3 linked regions of the Yarrowia lipolytica genome follow. The protein of the gene in region 3 binds, or shares a complex with, the protein of the main gene of each other region. Links are inferred from orthologs where the notes say so. Each region holds a gene or a part of one and is shown on either strand. Other genes may lie near its edges.

The links. The genes of interacting proteins can lie anywhere in the genome.
Region 1: YALI1_B14150g (region 3) and YALI1_F17431g share a complex: the UniProt entries of both Saccharomyces cerevisiae proteins name them as parts of the mitochondrial small ribosomal subunit. The link is inferred for Yarrowia lipolytica from reciprocal best matches to the Saccharomyces cerevisiae genes NAM9 and MRP4.
Region 2: YALI1_B14150g (region 3) and YALI1_B29507g share a complex: the UniProt entries of both Saccharomyces cerevisiae proteins name them as parts of the mitochondrial small ribosomal subunit. The link is inferred for Yarrowia lipolytica from reciprocal best matches to the Saccharomyces cerevisiae genes NAM9 and RSM19.

What each region holds. Positions count from the first base shown.
Region 1 is NC_090775.1:1,740,122-1,745,927, reverse strand, and holds YALI1_F17431g (mitochondrial 37S ribosomal protein uS2m), read left to right. Parts: upstream 1-2,816; coding exon 2,817-4,100; downstream 4,101-5,806. Other genes in the region: YALI1_F17444g (uncharacterized protein), read right to left, coding at 951-1,436, 1,483-1,491; YALI1_F17383g (uncharacterized protein), read right to left, coding at 4,466-5,806. UniProt on the Saccharomyces cerevisiae protein: Component of the mitochondrial ribosome (mitoribosome), a dedicated translation machinery responsible for the synthesis of mitochondrial genome-encoded proteins, including at least some of the essential transmembrane subunits of the mitochondrial respiratory chain.
Region 2 is NC_090771.1:2,948,017-2,952,996, reverse strand, and holds YALI1_B29507g (mitochondrial 37S ribosomal protein uS19m), read right to left. Parts: upstream 2,297-4,980; coding exon 2,257-2,296; intron 1,937-2,256; coding exon 1,707-1,936; downstream 1-1,706. Other genes in the region: YALI1_B29528g (uncharacterized protein), read left to right, coding at 145-1,335; YALI1_B29505g (uncharacterized protein), read left to right, coding at 2,444-4,267; YALI1_B29483g (uncharacterized protein), read left to right, coding at 4,668-4,980. UniProt on the Saccharomyces cerevisiae protein: Component of the mitochondrial ribosome (mitoribosome), a dedicated translation machinery responsible for the synthesis of mitochondrial genome-encoded proteins, including at least some of the essential transmembrane subunits of the mitochondrial respiratory chain.
Region 3 is NC_090771.1:1,411,714-1,418,038, forward strand, and holds YALI1_B14150g (mitochondrial 37S ribosomal protein uS4m), read left to right. Parts: upstream 1-3,351; coding exon 3,352-5,067; downstream 5,068-6,325. Other genes in the region: YALI1_B14121g (uncharacterized protein), read left to right, coding at 440-1,012; YALI1_B14147g (uncharacterized protein), read right to left, coding at 1,955-3,049; YALI1_B14187g (uncharacterized protein), read right to left, coding at 5,428-6,325. UniProt on the Saccharomyces cerevisiae protein: Component of the mitochondrial ribosome (mitoribosome), a dedicated translation machinery responsible for the synthesis of mitochondrial genome-encoded proteins, including at least some of the essential transmembrane subunits of the mitochondrial respiratory chain.

The DNA.
Region 1 (5,806 bases), on a different chromosome or scaffold from region 3:
TCTACTTGTAGTAGTCTACTAGAACACGAGGCATCTGTCTTCAATCCAACTTCGCATCTGTCTTCAATCCAACCTCACATTGTACATACTGATACAGTACCGTGGCAGCTCTACTTCCTTCAGTCTATCAACTCAAACTGAATCAATGGCGTAAGACAGGGCCTCACTGACGGTGCCCGAGAGTACAGCGCGGCTAATTGTGACATAATATTGGTCTTCTGTCTCCTAGGAACAATATTCAGCAATATATCGCCACCAACATCACTTTGCATTCCTCATTAGGACATGCAACCAGCCTTTTAACCCGCATCTTCAAGTACGGTAAGGAGTAGATGAGAGACCTACCAAGAAAAAACGCCCTGGTACTTGATATTGGGTAAAAGGGTAACAGGGCCGGCGTCTGTCTCTTTCGCCGTCATTCTACTTGCCACTGATCTACAAGCATCTGTAACTCCCCCTCCTCTCAGGAGCGCTACTTGTAGAATGTCCGACTAATATATCTCGATGAATAACATTTGAGCTTGAAATTTTTAACATTTTGGAGACTGTCAATGCGAATGTTGATGTGACATATACAGCACTATTTGCGTGTTTCGGATGGGGAGAAGTTTGTGGAATCAATTTACATTGTCATTATGAGTTCATGTGCATTTTTTCCCGCCAAGTTTCTCACAAAATTCCACGTTCCGGGTGTGTCCCTTTTTTTTTCTCTTTTTTTTCTTTTTTTTGCTTTTTTTTGCTTTTTTTTGTCTCGACATTAGTGCGTCTATCATGCACTGTATTTTTTAGTCGTCTGCGCTCCAAACTCTTTTTTTCACTTCGACAATACATGAACCCAGGAGCCAGCTGAGTAACACGAGACTCCCAAGGGAACGTGTCCCTACTTGTGAACCACATGTTCAAGAGCCAACTTCTGTTGAGCAATGACGCGTTGAAATACGCAAGAGCCTTCAAGTAAGCCGCCTGGCCAAGTGTTGTAAGACCCGCACAGCTATTGTTGAGACTAACTGCCATGAGCTGAAACGCCATGCGCCAAGAGCGAGTGTTTTGAGCCGGACGAAATGCCCAGGCTCCTCCTCCGTGCCTTGTGTAGCCCACATGAGCAAGTCGCCAGAGCCATCCGACCGTGGGAAACTCGTGGGTGAAACCCCTTTCTGAGACACTCCCACGCCGCCTACTTGTAGTAGAACTGAAGCTGAGATGCCAGAGCTACCAGTGCGAATGCCGACAAGCCGCTGAGAAGCCAGCCGAGACGCACTAGAGCAAAGATCGTAAGACACCTCCACGGTCAAGAGCAATGCAACAGTCTGAGTGAGCCAATGAGTCCTACACGGCAATAATGCCAAACGCCCGTCCCTCCAGCCAGAGCAGAGCCAGAGCCAGTACCACAGAACAGAGCTAGTAAGTCCAAAGAGCAGTGAAAGCCAGATCCAAGCCTGAGTCAATCAACTCGGACGGACAGCCATCCAGAGTGCTGTACACATGTTGCATGTCGGAAAATGTGAATAGGACGTAGGCAGTTGAACCTCCTCAGGAGGATGTAGGCTGACCGAACCTATGCTGTTAATTAATCAAGGGGAGTAGGTGAAAGAACCGCACCTCTTGGGATAATACATTAGGCCGTTGAGCACCTCCCCGTATTGTGAGTTGTAGTAGGTAGAAGTCGTATACAGTCGTAAATACAGTACATATAAACATGTCTGAAAACAGTCTGTTTTCTCAAGTGAAATTTTGGGGTTACCCGGCCTGGCAGAATAAGGGAAGTGATCACAACTCCAGTTGTAGTCCCTAAGGGAGCATTTATAACCACACCAGCGTGTTATTTGGACCATTGCGATCATTCTGGTATCCAAATAACGCACTTTGGCGGCTTCTGACCCAGTATATGTCTGGGATATGTTGCACTCGTGGAATTAACTAGACTTTAGTTAAGGCCGTAAGTGGTCTGGAGTCTCAAATTTGGGATCATTGGACTATTTCTGAAGTGTGAAGACCCTCAAATCATCAATTAAGCCATTATTACTCGAATAATGTAACATCATTTCCACATTCCCTTACATACTGTCAAGTAGTCGCAGTCAACGCCATATTCCAGTGTTTGTATATACTTAGGTTTTAGTTGGAGTGAAATCGCAGACTACAGGCAAGCAGTAGAGCAGGAATCAACAATGTAGTCAGTAACATCTGATTACCACGGGATTGACACTCAATCAGCCGTTTTTCATAAACCAGATGAATATACAAGCATTTCCTATCTAATTGAACAACAGTATCTGTCGAAACCCATCTAGATACGAGTTTTCTCTCATCCATTGGTATTGAGATCGGCAAGAGGGTCACTACCACGGTGGTCTCCACGAGAATCACCAAAAGAACGAGATCAGTAGTTACAATACCCATGAAACAACACTTGATTAACGTCTTTTCCCTTTTTCTCCAAGGTCTCATCAGTATTGAGATCACTCTCTTCCTCATTTCTCACTTGGTCACTTCCTCACTTACATAATCAGCATTCTGCAGATACAGAATCTCTCAATAGTCCTGATATCAACACAACACAGTCCAACTTGAATCAAAAAAAACCAAAAAAAAAAAAAAAAAAAAAAACCAAGTGGTCACCTCCATCGTCTATCACGTAACCGGTTCGTTCCATTTCCTTCAAAAGCCCCGTTATCTTTCCCTCAATATCGCACTCAACACACCCCACATCCAAGAGCCCTCTGTCGCTGATTCACCTCCCAATGTTACCCTACCTTTGTGCAAGGTGAAATTTCCAATTTTCCAGCACCAGCACAAACAACAGGGTACCACCGAACATGCTGAGATCTATCCGACGGTACTCGACCAAGTCGCCGTTCGCCAAGGTCGGCTCCAAGACCCAGTCCTACGACTACCTGCGAGCGTTGCGGGTCACCCCCGCCGAGACTTTTGCCGATGTCCCTCTGTCTCCCGAGCTGGAGCAGGAGCTGTCCACCAAGTTCCAGGAGTTCCAGAAGGCTCTCAAGGCCGGTGAGAAGCTGGAGCAGGTCAAGGAGATTGCACGACAGGCAAGAGGCACCAAAAACGCCGCTGCCGGCGGGGACCCCCAGGCCGATCTGTCTTCCCTGATGGGCCGAATCGACAGTAAGAACATCCGAGTGGGTAATGACCAGAGTAAGATTGCTGCCATTTTCCCGTTGCTCAAGCGAACCGCCCGAGATGAGGAGTACACCAAGCAGGAGCTGTTTCTGCGACGACAGCACCGACACGATATGCTCAGCAAGTTGGGAGCCGAGGTCAAGGGCGTCTACGATCCTCTCCATATCATCAAGCATCCCAAGAGTGGCACCGAGGCCACCGTGACCAGTCTTCTGGCTGCCGGCGCTCATCTGGGCCATGCCGTCGAGCTCGGTCACGTCAACAACCAGCCTTTCATCTACGGCGTTCGAGACGGCATTTCCATCATTGATCTTGAGCAGACCGTCACCCAGCTGCGACGAGCTGCTCGAATCACCGAGGCTGTTGCCAAGCAGAACGGTCTGATTCTGTTTGTCGGCACCCGTGACGGCCAGAAGCTGGCGCTCGAGGCCATGTCGCGACGATGCGGCGCTTCCTACGTGCACTCCAAGTGGATTCCTGGAGCCATCACCAACTTTTCCAACATTGCCGCCAACTGGAAACGATACGAGGTGGTGGACGGCGAGTCTGGAACCAGCTTTGCCGACATCAACCAGCACACTGGCCGAGAGTTTGACGCAGAGATCTCGGGCCCTAACATGCGACCTGATCTGGTTATCATCCTCAACCCCGACGAGAACCCCGCTCTGATCCGAGAGTGTCTCAAGTCCTGCATCCCCACTGTCGGAGTGGCCGACACCAACTTTAACCCTTCCAAGCTGTCGTACCCCATTGCCGCCAACGATGACTCTCTCCGAACCACGGATCTGATCACTGGAGTGCTGGCTCGAGCAGCCGAGAAGGGACACAAGCTGCGACGGTTCGAGGAGCAGCAGCGACGAAACGCCGAGCTTCTGCACATGAAGAAGAATCTTGTGCAGGCTGCCGATGAAAATGACGTGACCGAGGACCCTTTCTCCTCCGGAGAGGCCCACAAGGAGTAATGTACATATAGGAGACCATGAATGAGAGGTATTCGCGAGAATGCCAGTGTATTGAATAACAGAATGACACTGTGACCCTCGAGCAGATCGAGATATATGACTAGTAGTGAGAACAAAATTGAGACTGTGCATGTACTGAGCTCTTCTATAGAGAATCGAAATATGAAGACTTTGGAACCGTTCTACGATACAATACATACTTGTAATGTCTGAGTATGGTGCGAGTAGGTAGTACGATAATGTGGTGGGGTGGAATGAAAACAACGCTGTTGACTGCACTGAAGTAGATGTTCAATCATATCATACATGTTAATCTATATATCGTGGTCTTGTTCAGTAGTACATAAGCTGTCATCTTGCTATGCTCAAGGCTCATGTGCACCAGACGCATTCCTGTACATTCGCATAAACCGCGAAGTCGGCTTCTGCTGTGTACCGCCTCCAATCTGGGGGCTCTGGGGTTGCTTCATGGTCTGCGACATATCCATGAGCTGCTGCGCGACCTCAGGCTTGATTCGGTCGTACCGTCGCATTCGGATCTGCGGGTTATTGTACTCCTTGGACAGCTCGTTGGTCATGAGCAGATCCAGACATTGTCGGATCTCGATGAAGGTGGTCGACAGCGACGCGTTGCCTCCGTCCAAATGCAGCGTCGTCACAAACTGCTCCATGTATTGAATGTCCACGTTGTAGTTGTGCACGGCCTCGGTGGTGATGAGGCCCCGGGGCGCATTCAACAGAATCTGCAACAACGAAGAAGCCAAATGGTCAAACGCGCCAAAGTAGACGTAGTTCTTGATGGCAAAGGGTAGGTCGGCGAGCGTGGAGTTGAAAAAGATCGTAAGGAAGTTGACCATTTCGTCCAGATATGAGGAAGGTTCATCGGACGAAACTGTGGTCGACCAATCGTAGTCCTCGAGCTCCATGAAGTTGTCCACCGTCTGGGTCACGTGCTCGAATATTCGTGACTCGGCCTTGGCGGACGCCTGCTGGAACTTCTTCTGGGCCTTGAGTGTAATCTTCGACTTTCGTTGCGACGGACGACCGTCCACAATGCTCTGGGCAATGAACGGAATAACCCGCTCAAACTGCTGCAGGTCGATCAGAATCTGCACAATCTGCTCTCGGGTCGTGGTCATAAGCCGATGCAGCAGCGTGTCGCAGATAATGTCATTCAGCAGACTATCCATGGCCTGCTGCACGTAGTCCTCCGTCTGGGTAACTTCAGACACATTGAACTCGTCCAGAAATGCATAGTGCTGGTGAATCAGATGCGTAATCTTGGCACAACAAAGGGGCAAGATGGGCGAGAAGGGAAGGGTCTTGGGGAACACGCCGTCTGTAGCAGCTCCGGGTTTGCCTCCAGCTGCCTCGTCATCCGCTGGAGTCCACCAGCACGCTCGAGTGATCTTCTCATACCGATCAGCGTCGTGAATGGTGATCTTGTTGGTGTCGTCCTCCATGATTCCGGTGTTGAAGTCCTTGTCAAAGCCAGAAATGAGAAACTGGGAGAACTTTCGGAACGACAGAAGCAGAAAGTCGCCCACATTGACCGTGTCGAATCGGTATTGTTCCATGGTCTGCACAAACAAACCCAGCTGGGCCTTGAGATTGACGAGCACTGCTTGGTCCTGGACAGAAGCTAGTTCGTGGCCAAGAGTGCCCATAAGCTTTTGCGACAGAGAAATCCACAGGTCGTCGACATC
Region 2 (4,980 bases), about 1.5 Mb from region 3:
ACCGCTCAAAAACCCTTTTGCCCCGCCCAACAAGACCCCATGTACCCCCTAAGGCTTGCTAATATTGAGGGTTTCACCTCCGTCTTGGCCCATGCGGGGATTGTTTAACTTCGTTGGGACCTGTCCTAAACATCTATCCATACAATGGTGCCTCGACGAGGAGCCACAATTGGGGCGCCATTGCCCCGTATATTCTCGAGACACGTCAGCAACTACTTTCACTATCGCCAGGGCGACGTGGCGGGCCGCATAAACCTGCTTTCGCTTCCGGGCTTCATTGGACACTACACAAGCCGAGTCAACAGACCCTACAACGAAGACCGCTACAGCGCCTCCGTATTGAAACTACCTCGAGGCAGCACTTTTGCGCCTCGATCTCTGCGAAAGGGCATGTCTGCCGAGCGTCAGGTCTTCAACTTTGCCGTCTACGATGGCCACGGATCCGACGAGTGCTCCGAGTTTCTTAAGGACAAACTGGCCACCTATGTCGAGAAGGCTGACCTCAACGACGCCGACGACATTACCACCAAGTACAAGGAGCGGTTTGGAGGCTACTGGCGCCGATGGAAGCAGATGGACAAATACCGGGGTAGAATGAGCCCCTACGACGACTTCCAGTTACGACTACCGTTGGCGTTCCTGGAGGCCGACTACGATTTTGAAGGTAAAGGAGGAAGTACATGCACATCGGTGTTCTTGTATTGTCGCCATGTGGCCCATTCAGAGGCCGGTCCCCTACCGCCGGGGGCTGAGGATAACATGTTTGACCCAGAGAACGACCTCTCTCTAGTAGTGGCCCATGTCGGAGACACTCGATGCATCATCTGTGATGCCAAAGGAGAGGCCACACCTCTTACCATCGACCACCATCCCAGCGCTCCCACCGAGGCCGATCGTCTGCGTCGATTTGCATCTTCATTCTTCATGGACTCCTTCGGCGAGGAGCGGTTCGGTGTCTTTGCCAACACCCGAGCCTTTGGAGACACACTTATGAAGGCCAAGGGTGTGAGTGCCGAGCCCGACGTGCGAGAGGTTGCACTCCAGGACGAACAGTTCCTGGTGCTGGTTTCCGACGGAGTTTCTGGCGACGTGTCTGATCAAGAGATCGTGGACCTGGTAACCATTACCGCCAACAGTAGCGGTTCTGGACGAGGATCGCCACAGCAGGCTGCCCAGGAGGTGGTTGAGTACGCAGCGGCTTTGGGTGGCTCGGACAATGCCACTTGCATGGTTATCCGTCTAAGAGGATGGGGCAATGGCTCGCAGGTGGACCGAACCGGCGAGCTACGAGAATACCGACTCAAAAATGTCGACTCCCGTGGAAATCGAATGTAGGCATGTATATTTATAAACAGTAACTTTGGCAATGTGACTTGAAGAATGTAGCACGAGTATTCAGTGGATGTGTAGTGTACATACTACCCCCACCGATAAGTTCCACTAATGTTTTACGGTATCAACTAAAAATCTAACTAAAAGTTCAATTACTCTTAGAGCCAAGATGCGAGATTTATTATCCTGGCTCAAAATTCCCATCTTACGTATTGGGTGGAAAAAGTCGCTGTATCTATGGATAGATACAAAGACTTTAGCGTATCACCATGTGAATAGCTACTTGTAGGTGAAGTCAGGTGGCTCTTCAGGCACTGTAAAGCTACAGTACAGTATGTACAGCTTCTGAGGCATGAATCTTGGCTATATACAAATTAGTTCTTGGTCTGTCGGTATCGGAAGGGCTTTCGAGTGTAAGCGTACTCGCCAAGCTTGGTTCCGACCATATCCTGGGTGACGTTGACAGGAACGTACTCCTTACCGTTGTGGACGTGGAAGGTCACACCAACAAACTGGGGGATGATGGTTGCGGCTCGCTTATCGGTCTGGATAGGCTGCTTCTTTGTAGCCCATGGCTTCAGGTCGATAGGGACAATGTGAGGGCCTGTGTTAGCTTTGGAGGATGTGTGTCATGTCTTGATTTGGCGATGTGTTGATCTGGTCAATGGAGAACAACTAGCAGATTCTGTGCGTAGTCGCGAGAGCTGAGAGGTGTTCTGACGACGAATCGAGAGGCAACAACCTGACTGGCCCGTGTTATCACCCGGTCCAACCAATCAATTTCCGGTTTGACAATCGCCAATACCTTTGTGCCTGTGGTGTCACTCGTATTGCAACGAAGTACAGGCGAATCACGCGAGTATGGTGAAAACGAGTGGCAAAAATCTTCTTCCCTGCACTCGGTTCACCAAATGAAATACTCACATTTCCAGGCGGAACGACAAAGAACCCGTGTTGGCAGCATTTTCGGAGTGGTCTGAAGTGCAAAAAGGGTGATGTAAAAACGCTTACTACACCTAAACTCTATTTGATACTCGTGCATGAAAATCTTAGGCCTACATACAAATAAATTTATTTCGAGCCTGCAGCACACCACGAAACACACATCACCATGTTCACTGGAGTTCGTCGATTTGACCCTACCCAGGGCGGACAGGCGTCGCCTGTACCATTCAAGAAGGTCAAACACGAGGAGGAGGAAAGCAAGCCTGAAACCAATGCTGACGAGCACTCTGAGGTGGAATATGAGGAGGAGTCTGGGGACGACTCCATGGATGAGGCTGAGGAGGCCAAGAAGCCCGTGGAGGTCAAGGACGAGGAGGAGAGCGAAGATGAGAACCTTACAGCCGACCAGAAGCGAAAGAAGAAGCAGGAAGCCGCCAACCTGGCCAAGCGAGCGGAGGAAAAGGCTCTAGAGCGAAAGCGAAAGCGAGAACAGCATATGGGCGAGGAGGACTCTGATAGTGAAGATGATCTGGCGCCTATCAAGATTTCTGGCAACAACAAAATCAAGCTTGCTAAGGGAACCATTCGAGCTAAGGGCTTCGAGGAGCTTCCCCAGACTGAAATCTATGAGGATAAACCCGATGAGAGTGCAACCATCTCTCGAAAGACCCAACTTCAGACACAGCCCATTTTGCGAAATGCTACTTATGTGGAAATTGACGATGTTGGATCATTTGATGAGTTTGATCTGAGCAAAAATATGATGAAGAACCTGGACACTTTAGGATACACAAAGGCATTTTCTGTGCAGAAGGCAGTCATTCCTTGGCTTCTGGCCCAGCAAAAGCTCCTTGCCCCCGATCGAAAGCCCGATCTTCTTGTTTCTGCATCCACCGGTTCCGGTAAGACCGCCACTTACGGAATCCCCATTATCGAGAAGCTCCGAGACCGTATTGTTCCTCGAATCAGAGCTGTGGTTGTACTCCCTACAAAGCCCCTGGTCATGCAAGTCCGAGACGTGCTTGAAAACCTATCCAAGGGATCTTCTTTGTCTGTTGTGGCTCTTCGAAACGACCGAAGCACCAAACGTGAACGGGCTGTTCTGGAGACTGCCGATATCGTTGTGGCAGCCCCTGGTCGACTTGTGGAGCAAGTGAAGGAGAACCCCGAGCTCTTCTCTTACATCGAATTTCTGGTGGTTGACGAGGCCGATCGTCTGCTTGGCCAGGACTACTACGACTGGGCCTCTGTGTTGCAGAACAACCAGCAGCGGGCCCAGGCTGGTAAGACCAACCTCACTGAGCACTACGTTCGAAACATGCAAACACTTATTTTCTCAGCCACCCTCACAGCCAACCCCGAACACATTGCATCCATGGACATCCACAATCCTGGCGTTTTTGTCATTGGTAGTTCTGACAGCTACTCTATTCCCAAGAGTCTTACAGAGATTGTCACCCACGTGTCTGCTGCCGAGAAGCCTCTTATGCTGTGCGAGCTGCTAGTGCAGAGAGATATCAACAGAGGCGTGGTGTTCACTAAGAGTTCCGAAACTGCTGCTCGTGTGGCTCGCATGATGGAGATTATGGACGCGGACATTTTCCACAAGGATTGGAAGATAGCGGCTGTTTCTGCCGAGACTTCTTCTGTGCACCGACGACGGTCCATGAAGCAGTTTATTGATGGCAAGATCGACTTTCTGGTCTGTACCGATTTGGTTTCTCGAGGTATCGATTTCGTGGTGGATAATGTGATCAACTACGATATCCCTAGTGGAAAGCGAGAGTATGTGCATCGAGTGGGTCGAACTGCCCGAGCAGGCAGAGAAGGTAACGCATACACCTTCCTCACTGGCTCTGGAGAAGCCAAGTGGTTCCGGGAGATTGGCGAGTTTGTGGGTCGAACCCAGGAGGTGGATGCCACTCATATCAACAGTTCCCATAACGACGGATACCAGGAGGCTCTTGCCAAGCTGGAGGAGGAGGTTTAGAAGGTGTTATAAATGCATTGTAAATTATCATTTAATAGACGACTGAGCAAAATACAGCACGTGCAGGCGGTTATTGTATTTACTCGTACAGTTTGTACTCACTAATACTGGCTGTTTTGCAGCCTGGGTTCTGCCTAGCCGAGACAAGACTGTTCTAGAACCTTCATAAAGCCGACTTTTGTACGGTAAATATATAATAATGGCTTGCGCTCTCCAGATATCAGTGTATCTGCTTGCTTCATTATAGAGAGCAGTCGAATAAGGTTCCGGACCCAGCGACACTTCACATACTCCGACAGTGCGCCGAAGGTGACCCACAGAATTCAAAGTATAAATTCGATAGCCGATCCTGTTTGCAAGATGATTCAGACTATCGATCCTAACGACTGCTAAACACACAATGCGAAGAACACTTGCCCGTCTCCAGCACCACTCCAACGCGTTTGTTCGAATCGTCGAGGTTGCGCCTCGAGACGGTCTTCAAAACGAAAAGAAGATCCCTTCCACCGAAACTAAGACTTCTCTGATTGACCGGCTGGTAGCTACCGGCCTTCAGACTGTGGAGGTGACCTCGTTTGTGTCGCCCAAGTGGGTCCCTGCCATGGCAGATAATGAAGCCATTCTGAAACACTGCAACCAGACCCATGGAGGAACCACTGTCGACTTCCCAGTGCTGACCCCTAATGCCAAGGGCATGCAGAAGGCATTGGAGC
Region 3 (6,325 bases):
CGTGTACTTCCTGTTTAGGTAGTTAAGGCGAATGGTGGTCTGCATTCACGAAGTGGACACTTCCAATAGTTATAGCGCAAAGGGATCATGAAACAATCGTGCCAAAAAGATGCTCCTCCGCGGGCTCCATTTCATTGTCCCCTTTAGACGACACGGCTAGACCTCCCCACATATGGTCTAGCGTTGGCAATCGTCATAGTACATGAGAGGTGTCCAAAGTCTATTGTCGCCTTTTTTTGTGCCCTTTTTTTGCCCTCTTTTGCCCAGATGGTCGAGAGTTTAGGTCGATTAGAGGAGATGGGAAATAGCGGTGGGTGGACCTACAATTCGATTGAACAGAAGCAGAATAGATGGCAAAAAGGCAGTAAACAACTTGCCGGATACAGACGGGTGTTATATGTAGCAATTGGTTTTTCTACTACCGAAAATAGCAGCACATATGCCCAATTGTTCAATCCGCCCTGACCCCACCGCAAGATTTGGAAGTGCAAAGAAGCTGTCGGAAGTGTCGGAAAAAAAGTCAAATTTCGCCCATGCCTCACAGACCTTATATACTCTAGGCCCGCCACAACCAGACGCAATGTTCCGGACCCTATCACTTACAGCTAGAAGCCTTCGATCTAGCCCTCTCAAGTCCCCTCTCTTACTCACCAACACACGCGCCTTCCACGCCTCTATCACAAACATGGGTGTCACAGTTAAGCAGCTCCAGCCCGGCGACGGCAAGACCTACCCCAAGAAGGGAGATGCCGTCACCATCCACTACGTGGGCACTCTGGAGAACGGCCAGAAGTTTGACTCTTCTCGAGATCGAGGCGAGCCCTTCAAGACCACCATTGGTGTCGGCGATGTCATCCGAGGATGGGACGAGGGTGTCCCCAAGCTCTCTCTCGGCGAGCGATCCGTGCTCACCATCTCCGGTGACTACGGCTACGGCGAGCGAGGTTTCCCCGGCCTCATCCCCCCCAACGCCACTCTTGTCTTTGACGTTGAGCTCCTCGGTATCAACTAAATTGGCAGACCATGATGAATGATGGACGACCATCCCCAGTCGTGTCACACTATGTAAAGTAACAGATGTAATTAGCTATGAGGAGTCACGTGACCCAGCGACCTTTGGAGATGGCCAGCAAGTGCCGTTACGGTACCATTAGCTCCAATTGACCACACAGACCCTTCGTTCAACATCCATTGCACTGCCCGGACACCCACCACTGTAAAAACACAGGCTAGACTCCACATGACGTCAACGTGCACCATACTTGTACCAAAACATGCACTCATTTCAAACATTGGCAGCTATTATGGGACCATACTGGCAAGGAGATGCGCTGTAAGATGCGTAGCTGTGGTGCCTGCAACGGGTTTGTTCGTCCGCTCTGTGGGCTATATGCTTGAACCCCGTACCGAGTAATTACACTGCTTAGGCTTAGTAATGTATGAGTACAATGCACTCGCTGGCGTTCGGTAATTTCGTACTGGAACGAGACAGTTACTCCATCTTAATCTGACACCTCCTCGGCTACCGGCACTGTACCAGTACCGCGGAGATTTGACAGGTGTCAGCCCGAGGAAATTAGACAGTCGCTAAGGATGGCTAATTGCTTCTGGCTAGTCGAAAAAATCAAGGGCGTGTGCTACAGTATTTTAGGACCAGCATGTTGTGGTGGTTGGCTTCCGATGTCCTGTGTCATGTATACACGAATGTACACACATACAGTAACCGCAATTACACTACGATTTTGTTTACTTTACCAGTTACGGTAAACATACCAAGTCTCTCTTCGTGAGTAAAAGCAGTAGAAGCTCTTCTGTACCATCCCAACTACTAAAAGTACAGATCTTCTACAGCTAGCCCAGCTATCCAAGCTCATGTTTATGTCATTAGTAAGCATTATATATGGTATCTTGTACTCGTACATTCCTCCCCCCCTTCAATCTCAAACACACCTCATCACTTCTTTCTCCTGGTGCTGCGCCGAGGAGCAGGTTTCTTCACCCCACCAGACGACTTTTTCGGCGTCGGCGTCTCTTCTCGTTCTGTAGCTGTATCTTCGGGTTCCGTTGTCGCCTTCCGTCTCGTCGACCGTCTCGGAGCGGAGGAAGCACGGGTGCTGGGCGACGACTTTTTGTCGCGAACAGTCTTGCCCTTTGAGGTCCCTCGGCCACGAACAGCTGCTGCAGTGGCTGCTCGCGTTCTTCGTTGGCGGCCTGTTTGTGCGTCCGAGTCAGACTGTGATTCCGAACCGGATTCACTCTCCGATTCTCCAGATTCTTCTCCTTCTCCTTCCTCCTCCGATTTTTCAGCTTCCTCGGGCTCTGCACTACCCTCCATGGTGTCGTGCTCTTCTTCTCCTCCGTTCTCCTCCCGTTCCTGCTGCTCTCCCTCCACCTTGATCTTGGTTTCCGCCAGTTTCATCTCCTCGTCGTCCAGTTCATCCAGATCACTGGACTCGTCGTCATCGTCAGCAAGGCCCTTCTTTTCATCCCCAGCTGTGGGTCCGTCTTCCAAGACAGACTGCTCGCGCGACATGGCTGGACTAGACTGTTCACTGGCAACCGCAGTAGCCTGCTCAATCTGCAGAAACCCATAATCGCGGAACGGCAGCACGAACTCCTTCATCTGCGACCGCTTTGCGATCCCTTCAATCGCAGCCTCGTCATCCTCATCCTCGTCCATGTCCGAATCCTGGTTGTCGGCCACGTACTCCAGTTCGTCTAGTCCATCCAGGTCGTACAGAGTGCCCAGCTTGTCCCACACGTCCTGGTGAGAGAACACAGGCGCGTCCTTCGGCGATTCGGAAAAATAGTAGTTCAGCGAAGCCGACAGAGAAATCATGCGGAAATGTTTGTGGATGCCCACGGGCTTGAACTTGCACAGCGAGTTGAACAGCACTGTCTCGCTCTCTATGGACCATGGAGAAGAGTCTGTTCCGGCATCACCTTGTCCGTTACTCTCAACTTCTGCTCCGTCCACTGCTTGTGTCGATGTGTCGTCTGTATCTTCCCTTTTCACCATCCCCGTCTCATCTTCCTCTTTTTTCTTCATGATGCAATGTCGTTAGTATGGTACAGTTGTGATTGTAGATGGTGCTCCGGCTCTACGGTTCGTGTGCTACCTCTCAACCTCCTGCACGTTGACCTTGTGCTTGGTGGTGTAGCGAGTGTTTACATTGTCTGTAGCACTTTCAACTAACTTCCAACTAACCCCCAACTAACATTTACACATCACCAAACTCTCTTAAGATTGGGACTTTTGTCACCTCTCATTTACTCCCACCTACACCTCAGTTACCCTACCGTGCATCTGAGTGAAAAATTCAATCACAAGATATACATCACCACCCCAAAATGCCCCATAAAGCGAAAAACCTCTTCTCTCTGGCTCGAGGTAAGGTGCGAGCCTCATGGAACCCCCGCAACCTGTACAACTTGTACAAGAAGACGGACTTTCTGCGGGATGAAAAGACGCTTTTCCAGAAGAAGTGGGCCTCCAAGCGAGAGCTGCGAGCCTATCATGGAGAACACATTCGAGAGGGTACCTTGACCACTCAGATCCCCAAGAAGCTGCAGGGTGTGGTTCTGCCTCTGGGAGACGACGTGACCTCCGAAGGAATCATGGCTAACCGATTCGACGATCAGATGCTGGAGTTTGATGCCGAGGGCAACAAAAAGCTCAAGACGCCGTTTGCCATGCAGACGTTTGTGCATCTGGAGAAGCGACTGGACTTTGCCGTGTTCCGGTCCATGTTTGCCGCATCCATTCGACAGGCCGGCCAGTTTATTCGACAGGGCAATGTGACTGTCAATGGAGTCAAGATCAAGCATGCCTCCTACACCCTCAAGCCCGGAGATCTCATCTCAGTCAAGCCCGAGAAGGTCCTCTTTGCTGCCGGTAAGGCCAAGCCTTCCGTTGAGGAGGCTGTCAAGATCGACAACCGACAGATCAAAAAGTACAACCAGTACATCAAAAAGTGCAACGATGATCCTGAGAAGATGTGGAACGTGCGTCTCGACAAGATCAAGAAGCGAGAGGCTGGAAAGCTGATGGACCCCAAGACGCAGATGCAGCTTCAGAAGGCCAACGAGGTGGCCTTCCAGGCCATGCTGGCCCGTCTCCGAGAGCTGTGCTCCGCTGCCATCTTCGAGGATCTCATCACTGGCCGAGACGAGTTTCTTAAGACCCAGACTGACGATACCAAGGTTCTGGGTGAGAAGCTACTCAAGCTAATTGACCAGCAGTTCCCTGCCAACGGTGCGGACCCGGTCGCTCCCACTGCTGAGGGTTTCCTAACCCCCGAGGCCGTCATTGAGCTTCTCAACGAGCGATCCACCAAGCTGGCCCAGGAGGCTGAGACAAAGGCTGAGGCCGCGGTAGAGGGCTCTGCTGAGCAAAAGAAGGCCGAGACCGTGCGCTCCAATGCCAATCATCTTATTGAGCAGCGAAACAAGAACATGGCGGGCATCGGCTCCAAGAAGCTGGAGTTTGCTATCCATCCCAAGGACATCAACCACGTCTCGTCCATCGAGAGCCCTCATACGAAGAACATTGTGTCCAGCTGTCTAATTTCGCGAAAAGCCGAGTTTGCCGGAGTCGAGGAGCGAAAGGTGGTCTACGCCGCCCGATGCCTCATCCAGGAAATGAAGACCAACGTGGCTGACTCTATCCACGACAGCTACAATGAGCATCAGCAAAAGCTGCTGAATCCCTCTGTCCAGGACACCGAGGTCAACCCCCGATGGCTGCAGCTGCTAGGACCTCTGCGAGAGAAGATTGATGCTGCCGAAGCCGCTGAAAACGAGGCCGAGGTCGCCCAGGAGTTCCCCTGGCAGAAGAAGCATCTGTACGGCCGACAGGATATCTCTAAGCCCTACTTTACACCCTGGAGATTCCGACCCTTCATTTCTCCTTCGGTTATCTACCCCCACCACATTGAGGTTGACTTCACTACCTGCTCCGCCGTCTACCTGCGAGACCCTGTTGCCCGACCCGGAATGTCGGAGGTCATTTCTCCCTTCCCTCTGATCAACCACGAGTTTGCCAACTTATACTACATTAAGAAGTAGTTTGTATATACTGTATTAGCATTGAAAGCGAAATTTGAATACTGTAGAGACCGGTCTCAACTGTTGTACATACTATAGTATGTACAGTATGTACTTGTATAAAATGTGCAATTACTGTAGCACTACTTGTATTAATATGGATAGATGAATACGGAAAGCATAGTAACGTCAATGTCCATCATATTCGTCTTTATCACATTCCACGACATTCGTAGTATGTACTGTATGTACTTGTGTTGTAACAAATATGATTTCGGAAATACAGTATATATATGACAGTTACTTGTGCCGTACTTTTTGTAGCGATACTGTTGGTATACATACTGTATCCTACATCTTTCGTATCAATGTTATTAAATATTAACCACTGCTGTGATCAACAACAGAGGTGACGAGCTTGCCGTTGACAATCTTGTGGATGAGCTGCTCGGGAACAGGCACTTCCTCATAGTCTCCATCGTCGGTGGGGATGTTGATGTTTAAGGAAGTGGTCTGCGAAGTATACACCTCAGCACCAATGCTCTCCTTGGACAGATAGATCTGTCCTCCGTCACTCTGGTCAATAGTGACCATGGGGGTAACACCAGTCACCTGGATGGCGTAGTCCTTGCATCGAATCACGTCAACTCCAGAAACCAGGTTCTCCACCAGAAGACCAAGCTTCTTACAGTTGTTGAGAGACACAGCCGACACCTTGCCCTTGATCTGCACCGTTGAGTTGTTGCAGTTCTCGATCATGACACCCTGGTTCATCTCGCCCTCGATGACAATGTTCTGGTCGCCCTCGTAGTTCTCAACAAACCATTTCGTGTCAAGCAGCTCGGTCTTGGCGGGTCGCTGCTTGGGGGCAGGGGCAGCAGGAGTGGCCTTAGACAAAGATCCGGGCTTTTTGGGAGGAAGAGGTCGAGCTGCCTTTCCGGAGGCGCCAACAGGGTCCTGTTTTCGCAGATCGGGGTTTTTGTGGGTCATTTCGCTCTTGTCGACCTTTCGCAGACCAGCAGTGACAGCCTCGCCCTTGGACAGGTCAGCAAACACTGCACCCATACCACCAGAAGGAGCAGCAGGAGCAGCAGAGTCTGTCTCGTAGATGCTAGCAGGAGGAGGAGGAGGGGGAGGAGGAGGAGGAGGGCCTCCTCCTGTGGCAGGAGCTCCACCGGGAGCGGGGACAGCAGTGGGAGCAGCGACAGACTTGGATTGAGTCTTTAGAGCCTCCTCAACAGGGATACCTCCAACCTTCCAGGTGGGACCGGTGGTGTGG